Drosophila melanogaster: one gene and its partners. The protein of the gene in region 1 interacts with the protein of each later gene in a pairwise test. Each region holds a gene or a part of one and is shown in the gene's direction. Other genes may lie near its edges. The genes, in order: CG5445, CG4306 and mura.

What was found.
Region 2: the proteins of CG5445 (region 1) and CG4306 interact in a two-hybrid assay, tested with the Drosophila melanogaster proteins (one large-scale study listed by BioGRID).
Region 3: the proteins of CG5445 (region 1) and mura interact in a two-hybrid assay, tested with the Drosophila melanogaster proteins (one large-scale study listed by BioGRID).

Annotation. Positions count from the first base shown.
Region 1 is NC_004354.4:17,280,497-17,284,255, forward strand, and holds the start of CG5445 (uncharacterized protein), read left to right. Parts: upstream 1-1,999; 5' UTR 2,000-2,131; coding exon of another isoform or gene 2,132-2,197; 5' UTR 2,198-2,348; intron 2,349-2,407; 5' UTR 2,408-2,479; intron 2,480-3,265; exon of another isoform or gene 3,266-3,318; coding exon of another isoform or gene 3,319-3,759. Other genes in the region: CG8664 (uncharacterized protein), read right to left, coding at 1,315-1,893, 2,132-2,197; CG8661 (uncharacterized protein), read right to left, coding at 3,319-3,759.
Region 2 is NT_037436.4:18,461,358-18,464,756, reverse strand, and holds CG4306 (uncharacterized protein), read left to right. Parts: upstream 1-1,593; 5' UTR 1,594-1,688; coding exon 1,689-2,038; intron 2,039-2,216; coding exon 2,217-2,529; 3' UTR 2,530-2,800; downstream 2,801-3,399.
Region 3 is NT_033777.3:9,549,377-9,553,135, reverse strand, and holds the start of mura (murashka), read left to right. Parts: upstream 1-1,797; 5' UTR 1,798-1,820; intron 1,821-3,325; exon of another isoform or gene 3,326-3,759. Other genes in the region: RnpS1 (RNA-binding protein S1), read right to left, coding at 1-445, 714-875, 952-953.

The DNA of each region.
Region 1 (3,759 bases):
TAAAGCATGTGCAATTATAATGAGAAAAACCCTAAATATAAAGCATAAAACCTAAGCCTAAGGTCTAGCTACTTACATTGTACTATATGCATAATCATTTTTGCACCTCCATATTTTTTTTTTTTTTCGCCAAAACGAATATTGTTATTCCTAGTGGGCAGTACAGTATCTCAAGGCGAATCAAACGTATATATCTAATCTTAGCTGCTGTGCTTAAGTTCTATTTCGGTTTTGTATTTTAATCACTTATACTCTCTATTTTTTGACATTTTTTTTTGTGACTTGGCTTGAATTTATTTAGTACTGGAATTAATTTAATTGATTGGTTAAGCATTTTTTATTGTTATTTGTTTTTATATACGCGGCTCAAACAATATTACTTTTAATAATATAAATACACGAATACATACAACACATCTATGAATGAAAAAGCGAACGAATGAAACAATAAATACATATATATAATTTAAAACAAAAGAGAGAATGCTTTAGTCGAGTTCCCCGATAATTATATAACCGTGTCTCAGCTAGTGTGAATGCGAGCGCGAAATTTTATTATTTTTCTGGGATATCGATAGGAATTGGAAAATAAAATAAGAAAAATTGATCAAAAGTGTGGGCGTGGCAGTTTTAGGCGGCTTGTGGGCGGTAGAGTGGGCGTGGCATCGTGGGCCCCATGTTTTCCTTTGCCGTTGGCGGTGTGGTAAGTTTTTCTTAATTTTGTAAATCAATTTTTATACCTAAAATTTCCAGCCACCGCGCTAACCAACTCGGTGTGGCTAAGGAATTTTGGTCGGAACGTATCGACGTATTGTATACTTGACATGGTCGGAGACCAATACATTTTCAACGAATCTAGTATACCTTTTTACTCTACGAGTAACGTGTTTACTCCCTTCATATTCTATTTGTTGCTTTTGTTGGAGTCCAGACCCATTGATACCGCTGGCGCCCATCATTTGAATCATCGAGTACAGAATATCCAGGAAGTCTGTCTATTGGCAATAGAATTAAGATTTTTGAACATATAACATCCTTTTTTATGGGTATAGAACATAAGGTTGAAGGTGGTTAAAGTCAAATAAGTCAGTTAGTAATAATGAGCACATCGATTTCCAAAGCTCTGTATGTGTCACATTCGTTTAAAAGTTTGAAACAGCAAAAAAAAGCCATGTTTGTCGGTCCGTCGGTATCTCGTGATCTGAGACACTATACAGGCTAGAAAGGTGTATAAGATATGTTGTCACACCCCGAACTCCCAAATCAGGAAGAAAGCATCTGCTTTGCTCATAATTTCATGGTTTTATTACCAACTTATGTCATGCTGGCTATGCAGGTATTGATGTTGGGCACAAAGGCGTTGCAGCCGTCGACCACCTTCTTGGTGGCATCGACGTAGCAGGAAGAGGTGTTGAAGGGCAGGGCTGCGCCCTGCTTGATCAATGTGTTCATGCGGCGGACAAGGGACATGGTGGCGTAGAAGGCCTTCAGGGTGCAACGCATGAAGCTCTTGGTGGAGGAGACGACGCTCCTGGAGGTGGAGGCGCACAGCTCGGACTTCATGTTGATGATCTTGTTGCTGGTGATGATCATTTGCTTGACATTGTTCAGCATGGCCTGGATATCCTTGGGAATATCGCCGGTGCAGGTGCTCAGGTCGTCTACGTAGTTGGTGCAGGTGAGCAGCACATTGGCCACCTCCTCGACGATGCACTTGGTGCCGTTGATGCCCTTGTATCCGGCCCACAGAATCTTGCGGCACGATCCAATGAAGCCGAACTGCTCGACGCCCATGAACTCATCCTCCATTGCCATCAACTCGGCGGCGTAGAGATCCTTAAGCTCGGCATCGGTGTAGGGCTCGAAGTCCTCGAAAGCACCTACGGCACTGGCCTAAAACAAGTTAGGAATACGATTCGATTTTGGAATAACTGTCAAAATATTTGACTTCAAGTAGCACACGTTTTAAAAGCACTTCGGAAAAAAAATTGAACAAAATATATTTGCTTTAAGCGACGATTCTGTTCATTAAATCTTTGTTTGCTGCACTTTTCGGATTTTTTTCAAACTCTAATAACGATGGCACTTGACTGTATTTGCTAGTAGTTCTTCATAAGGTTGTCTGACTTACGTTCGCTGTGGCCAGAAGGAAGCTGGCAGAGGCCACGACCAAGAGGCAGACGTTGAGTACTTTCATGTTACTGGTGGATGGTTTCACTGGCGAATGTTTGCTGACCGATCCGTGGGGTTTGTTTATATAGACGATTGGCCGGAGCCATATCAGTTAAGTGGCGATTCGGAGGTTCGATTTGCACATACACTTTGGAAAACCAATGTGCCGGCGATATGTATGCTTTAATTAAACCACCACACAAAGTCCGAAACTAATTTGACATTATCTATGCAGCGTGGACACACAAAGGAAGATAGCGAGATAGTCATATAGCCAGATTGTCCAGATTGGACAGGGATTCCTCAGGTAAGTCCGACACCACCCACCGCAAGCACTCCCATATATCGACGCGATGCATTCGATGCATAATCGCTCAAAGAAATCAATGGGTATTTTATTTAACAAAACAAAACCCTTGGAAAAGTCACCTATCTACGTTGTCAACGTCTGAGTGACAGCTTTTTAATATTTAAAGTGGCTTAAATCTAATTTATAAATAAGCATGAGCATTACAGTAAAAGAAGTATCGAGTATATTAAAAAACTAATTATACCAAAGAGAGAGCCTTTTATCTTCAAACCTGTCTCATGGCCCTAGGTTAAGGTGATCATATCTGTTGAGATATTGTTTTTGTCACACTTCCATTTTTATCAATATTCAATAGTGATAGAAAGTACACTCGCACTGGTTTTCGTTTAGGGGTGCAGACATTTGGTTAACAGTAACTAAACAATTATCTAACTATTCTGTACTCAATAAAATATAAATTTGTATTATAATTGAATTACTATTAATTTACTCTGACTAAAAATTGTATAAATTGTACAAATATACAAATATAGGTATGTTATAGAGCAACTTGTTATATTCCACTTAATACTTTTTGCAAATCGATGGAAATTCGCAAGACTAATAAAAATATAAAAAATATCATATATACGATATACCAGATCGACTCGGCTATTGATCCTAATCAAGACTATATGAAAACGCTTCCTTTTACTTTACGAGTAACGGTTATAAAAATTTAGTTACGAATAGTAATAAAAAGGCTTTCTCTCCTCTAACAAAATTAAATAACTAGCAAAAACTGTGATAACACGGATTTTTATTGAATGCTCGAATCAATTGCGGGCACTAAACCCCTAAGAAGTCAGCTTGGAGCAGCTGATGATGTTCTGGGGAAAGGCGGTGTAGTAGGTGGTCAGGGTGTTGACGGCATCGGAGACACAGGCGACGGCATTGGGACCGGTTTGCGGGATCTTCTTGGCCAGCTTGATGGCATTGTCCACTTGCTTCTTTAGGGACCACACCTTGCGCAGAGTCTTAACAAAGCAGCTGCCAGAGACCTTCGTCTCCTCGTCGTCCGTTTGGGGGCAAGTGTTGGACCTCAGATTGATGAGGTCGTTGCAAGTGCTGAGGATCTTATTGTTGGCGTTGATCAATTTGGTCACATCCTTGCTGGCGGTGACGCCGCACACGACCACGTCCGTGTTAAATTGGGTCGCACTGTCCTTGATGCCCGCCACCCACTTGATTATGCAATTGAGTCCCTTGATGCTTCGCAGAGCGATCTTTAGGGATTT
Region 2 (3,399 bases), on another chromosome or scaffold:
CCACCTGGCACTCGCAGTTAAAATCGCATAAATCAACACAAAGTTATGTTGTCATGACGACCATGCCAGACCTCTTAGCTCACCAACTCGTGTCGCTTGTCCTGTTCTGATGCGATCTGGTTTCAGTTTTGGCCAGAAACCATGTCAAACTGGCCAGAGTTCCGCCGCAAGCCCCACCAACATCCATAGAAAACGTGCAACGAATTCCGCAATAAAATCGCAAAAATCATTTTAAATGCATTCGCATATATTCGCGCAACAAACGGCTGTCACTGCGGCAACCCGAACAAACATAAGCAAATTGTGCTTTTCCCATGATATGTTACCCATCATGTCACAAATATTGAAATCGAAAGCCAAACGGTATGGTTTTTGGTGACGGTCGTTGCCCATGTCTTTGTTATGATTTAAAAAAATTTTTTTAAGGGTAAAATTGTTATGTAAACATTAAGGGCACCCGTTTTTTTTAAGTTAAACCAACGTGAAACTTTATAAAAGGAACTAAAATCTACTTAGAGAACTTAATCAACCGAAATTAAAAAAAAAATAAAGGAAGCAAATATAAAGGAAGTATAATTGTCACTTAATATAAGAACCGAATCCTCTCACGCTGCAAATTGAAAATATATATTTGATGCTATTATTTCAAAAAGGGTAGGCGTGATAATTTTGGGTGGTTTGTTGGGGTTAGAGTGGGTGTGGCAAAAAGTGTTTTGGCATATCGATAACAATTTACAAAACTAATAAAAATATGAAAAAATATTAACACGTTTTTCAAAAGTGTGGGCGTGACAGTTTTGTGCGGTTTTAGGGCGTTTTTTTTTTAGCAAATCGATAGAAATTCACAAGACTAATTAAATTATGAAAAAATATCCAAACATGAAAAATATCAAAATTTTCAAAAATGTGAGCGTGGCAGTCTTTGTCATTTTTAGGGCGTTAGAGTGGGCGTGGCAAAGAGTTTTTTTTTTGCAAATTGATGGAAATTTACCAGAATAATGCAAGTATGAAAAATATTAACACGTTTTTCAAAAGTGTGAGCGTGACTGTTTTGTGCGATTTTAGGATATTTTAGGAAATATCGCGTAACGTAAGACCAGCTAGGAATTGAATAACGAGAGGCAATAACTTGAAAAGTTCAAATCTTGTCAGAATAATGATATCTATGACAAAAGACTATCAATACACAAAATAAAGGCCCCTACGCATATAACAAATAATTTATATATTTTATTTTACAATATTGTTAAATAAGACGCACACGTATAAGACGCACGCATAAGTATGCCGACTAGTGTACATAATAATACAAATAAACATAATAAAACACAAACTTCGACTTACCTTCGCGCTGTCCGAACTCATTTTACTCAATGACAACATGAAGAATTTTAAGCACTCTGAATTACTATTGAAAATTCATTGGCTTCATTCATTCTTTGAACACATTCAGTTAGTTCATTTCGATCGCCGAATATATACGAAGTGAACGCAAAAAGAACGGGACCAACTGAATGACATGTATTCTGAATACGAAGTATAACGAATGGACAAAGAGAATGGTGTTATGCAGCCCTCTGGTGCACAAATATGCTCTCAGTAGACGTTCAACCTGAAGGCAGATCGTATCGCTTGGAGCTGTCAAGTCTAAATAAATATATTCATATATACGGGTATACATTTATAGAATGAACTACGAGTGTCTTATCGGTGTTCTAAGCTGCCTATTGGTAGCTCTCCCCAAAGGAAATTGCCACAGCATCAGTGGTTTAAATTCCACCTTGAATCTACCAGAGATTCGAGGTGACCAGTTCCTGTACTTTGGATTCGGAAGCAATATGCTGATCAAGAGAATTCACATCCAGAACCCTTCGGCGGTAAGAATTGGTCCGGCCCTGCTACCCGATTATCGATTGGACTTTGCCTTGGAATCAGCCGGTTGGAGCGGTTCTGTGGCCACCATCGTTCCCACCCAGGGTGATCATGTCTGGGGAACCCTCTGGAAGATCGATCTAAGTAATCTGCCGGATATAGACAGGTAAGTCTACGATATAGTATATGCCGTCTTGATAGGTTCCATTGTCGCTGTACTGCTATTATAAAATGTGTCTTATAAAATCACTTGAGCGTGTAAACCAATTACGAGGATCTATATTTCTTAGGACGGCTTAATTTATTTAGATTTATAATGCCTCCCAATTATATACTTTTTCCAGTCAAGAAGGCGTTAGTCAAGGCATTTATGAGCCTCGCACCGTTTACGTAAAACTCCATGGGGAATCTGAATCAACTCCTGCCCGAGCTTATCTACTGACCAAGCAGCCAGAGAGCAATCTGTACGAACTGCCTAAGGACTCCATTCCCTTATCCAGACAGCCCTCGAAAACATATCTGCAATGTCTCGTTAAAGGCGCTATTGAGAGCTCCGTTCCGGAGGATTATGTTCAGCGATTGAGGAGCATTAAGCATAATGGACAAGTTAACTCCTATCTGGAACGAAAACTGGAACTGGGAGGGGTAACCCTTTAAGTAATCAAAACATTAAATAAATTTCATAGTGCCTTTGACATTTTTATCAAAGATTTCTGAAAATATGTGGAGATTCACCTAAATAATACAATATTAATCAATACGTTTAATAACTAAATTATCGTCTTTATTGTTACACTGCAGCCATGAATGAATGAATCTTTGAATCTTTTGTAATAACATTCAAATTGTGCCATGTAATATTGCTACGCGAAATAAATCGCTTAAATCCATTTTAGTTTTATTTTACCAATAAATGTCTTCTTGTGCCGCATTTGTCATTTTTTGAATTCACAAATTCACAATTAAATTATCAGCGAATGATGATGGCTGTGGGAAAAAATTGGTCAGTGGTTCATTAGATCATTAGAATTGATTAGACAAGCGAAAATTTTAAGCACTGAAAACAGGTCCAACTACTGTGTAGTTAGTTTTCGAACTGATCGAAATTGATCATGTTTCATTTTTATTTGTTTTTGTTCTGAACGAAACTAAATTGATTAACTTTTCGCAGCATTCAAGAAACTCGCAAAGCTTTTTCATTTAAAACGATAGACGATCAAGTTAGGGCAGTGAATTTTGAGAATAGAGATCCATGTAATCATTAGAGAAATCTTGTATTTTGATTTTAAGTTTTATTATCTCAGAATGTAATGTAAAGAAACTTAACTAGTTTAGCTACAACAATGGGATATTTTTGGAATGTAAGTAAAATGCGTACTCTTCAAAAGCATTCCTAGAGAAGTTATCTTTATAATGAATTTGCAATTGCCCGTCTGAAATGTGTCTGCACTAATCAAATATGAATTGATATTTTCAACTATGTTCACATTTTTAGCTTCTAGGCTGTTCCCAGTCATTTATTTAGCT
Region 3 (3,759 bases), on another chromosome or scaffold:
TCGCTTCGGTGGCGGCGTCCTCTCAACGGAGCCGCGACCACGACGGCGTGGCGATCGTGAACGACTGGCTGAGCGAGAACGCTCCCGCTTAACATTATTGCTATCGGCGGCTGCCCTATCGTTGGATCCAGCACGGCGGGCACGATCCCTCGACCGACTACGACGATCGCGATCTCGCTCCGGCTCTTTTCGCGCCTTGCTGCCCGGTCTTGGAGATTTGGAGACACGCCTGGGGGAACGGGTGCGAGAGCGGGAACGTGATCGGGCGCTGGGCTTATCCTTGTCTTTGTCTTTGCCAGCAGCGCCGCCGCCACGTCTTCGGTTCTTCTCGCTGCGATCCGAATCGCTGGACGACGATGATGAGGAGCTCGAGGAGTCGCTGGAGCTGCTTGAGCTGGAACGCGATGACCCGGAACTGCTCCGCGAAGAGCTGCTGTCCGATGTGCTGGAAAAAGTGAAGTGTTTTATTTACTTCTCGTAACCAAGAAAACGGCAATGAAGCTGGTACAAAGTAAAACACTTCCTAACTGTGATGAAATTTTACCATATATGGTATGTGAATTTTTACAAAATCTTTTCGCTCGAAGGCTATTTTCTTCCCGTACTATCTGCTACGTTTTACAGAAGAAGAAGGACTTCCTTTTAAAAGTAACCCTTATTCCGGTTGGCAGATGGCAGCCATTTGTGGGAAAGACCTTTGCCGGCTGATTTACCTGCTTCTGGAGTCGCTGCTGGAGGACGCCGATCCGCGGCGTTTGCGTTCGCGGTCCCTGCGCGAGGAGCCGCTGGTCGCCTTGCCGTCCTTCTCTTTGGCGACCTTCTCCTTGTTGTCCTTTTCCTTCTCACCCTCGCCGGCGAGACTCTGGGCACGCGCCCTGTTTTTTTTTATTTGTCGAGAAAAGCGAGCTGTTTTAGACCATTTAGGGAGCAAAATGTGGTGCAGATACTTACATTTTCGTATTGCCGATTTGTTAAACGATTAGTTTTATAGTACCGCACACTCTTTTAGGTGCAAGCTAAAATGTTTTTATTAATAAATCTTGTTTTTCTCAACTAGAGTTAAATGCGAGTAGCGTTTTCAGTGGAGATTAGTGTGGCCGTGTTTGTGAACGTGTAAATATGACAAAAAAATAGAATACACACTTATTAAAATAAAATCCAGTTCCTTTACTTTGCTATTAAAAAACTGTTTTGCGAATATTAAGAAGCATTTTTAGTTAAATATAAATAAATTTCTTTTATAATATGCTTAAATCTCAAATTCTAGTATACAAATGTTTCTAGAGTATTTGGGATTAAGATAACAGACACCACTTGGTAATTTCTCACAGTCTCGCCGCGGCCACACTCTTTGTCAGGTCGAACCCAAGGTAAACTCCCATAAAGCGTAAAAATTTAAGACCTTTCCTGCCTAGCAATTTGGACTCGATAGGAAGTAATAATGTATACCGTGTAATATGAATAGTGCTTGTTTTCGTAACGTACGAATGTAGTGGAATTACATAAAACGCAATTGATTTAAGGCCAGCACTTTTTTATCTGCTGGTGACGAAGTGGTTGTCATTGTGAGTTCACATCCGTGTGCCTGTATGTGTGTGAACTTGTGTTGATTTTGTCCATGCGAGCAAGCGAGATAGCAAAAGGGGGCCGCGGGGGCTGGCCACAGCCACAGAGTTTCGATTTTCCATCCATATATCTACACTCGCAGCGGAAACGAGAGAGAGAAAGAGAGTGTGAGAGAGAGGAGCGCCCCGTCTGGTCTGGGCACATTTTACCACACTGCGTCTTTGTCTGCCGTCGAGTCGGGAGCTCCGCGTCTGGTGTGTAGTATTATTATTCTTAATATTTCGGATTACTCTGCCTGTAGCTCAATAGCAATATTAAAACCCCGCCCCGAATGCTTTGCGTTGAAAAACATATCTTAGTGTGTGTGTGAGTGCAAAGTGCAGTTATGTTGTGGCAGCAGTCAATGCAAATTAACCAGTGTCTATACCTCAAAGGCACATTTTTTTAGCCCCATCATCGTGTTTTGAAACGCCACAGCGCAGCGTAATTGCCAAAAACCAGCTAGCCAACAAGAGTTTCGTTGGTATACATATCCATATATTCATATAATCAATGTGTGTAAAGAAAACGAAACTAAGAAAAGCGAAAAAGAGCATTCGATGAAGTTGACTGTCATGACTACGCAATAGCAACAACAATAGGAGCTGCCAACAGACACATGTATGCACAGTAGGTGGGTCCTCTCACGTGCTCTCAGTGCCGCTCTCTGCTCTCCCTCTCTCGGTTTCTTTGTGCATCGGTGTGAGTGTGTATGTGTGTTGGGGTCCGGACTCCATGGAAAAAGCGAATATTTTGATGCCTGCTTCCTTGTGTGTATATGCGTATATTTTTTATAATTTATTGTTTTAATTTTGAGAGGGCGTAGTGTGACCCCAACTCGAACACCGACCCTGCCCAAGTATGCATAGAAGAACGCGCACACACATTTGTGGTCAAAATAATAGTTAAATTACGGAAATGTAGTCTATTTACAATGTTGAAGGAGAGCACCGAAGAGGTCGCTCTTTATATACATACATACATACATAAGTATATGTTATCGCTGCATTAAGTCTTATAATCTATGTTTAGAAATGCACTTATCTTATCTTTATAATAATATTTACCACAAATACCCTGATCAAAGAGGGGTTTTATGCCGTGACACAGTCGTTATACGAAGAGGGTGCTTCCAAAATCTTAGTGCTTCCATTTTAAAAGCATCGAAATTTATGTTATGAAAAGAAAAAGAACTTCTTATGCTAAGAATATATCACTATATAATTGCGGAGAATATCTTTGGGGTACAAATTATAGAATTCCATTATATAATATATATAATATTATATAATATATATAATATTTCTACTTAAATGTCTGTTTTAAGCAACACTAACCTTCTTCTTAGAAGAAACTTTACTCCACTTCAACATATTCAAGTAACCATTTCTCAGAGACTACAAACCAAAAATAGTTTACAGCACTATTAGTTTAACTGCAACTGTATATTGAACCACAATTACAACCATTATCGTTATGATAAACAAGCATTTGTATATTGTACTGCCTGCCTATATTTTACGTCTAATTTGCATTACATTGGCATTAATACTCATTGGCCGCAATTAAAACCAGGCTTTATATATATAGATCTATATTTTAATATTATTCCACATATACATACATTTATTGCTAACCAAACTAAACCAACCCAAGTAATTAGTTTCTCAACTGAATGTAATAGCAATGTTTTCTTTTACTTTTATTTTCTTTGTTTTAGCATACATACAATATTTTATTGCTGGTTTTGGTGGTAAATTTGCATTGTTAACGGCCGCGGCCAGACGTGCCCCGCTTCTTTAACACACACGTCTCTCAAACGAATACCGATCATCAAGTGTTTCCCCTATTGACTCTCGTATATAGCAACACGTAAAAACCAATATATAGCGATACTGATACCGAAAGCAACTAAACCGAAAGTGTATACTAAATACATCCCCGTATGTACCACATAAGACTGCCATCTGCCCCTTGCGTTGCCGTGCCGTGCCGTTGACACTTTTGTATCTGGCCATATTCGTATCTGTATCTCAAACTCACTGACCAACTACTGCAAGCGCAAATGCAAATGTAATCTGCAAAATGCAAACTGCACACCTGAATCTCAGCGCAAGTCTTAAACGTTTAATCCTCGAACTGCCTACAATACCA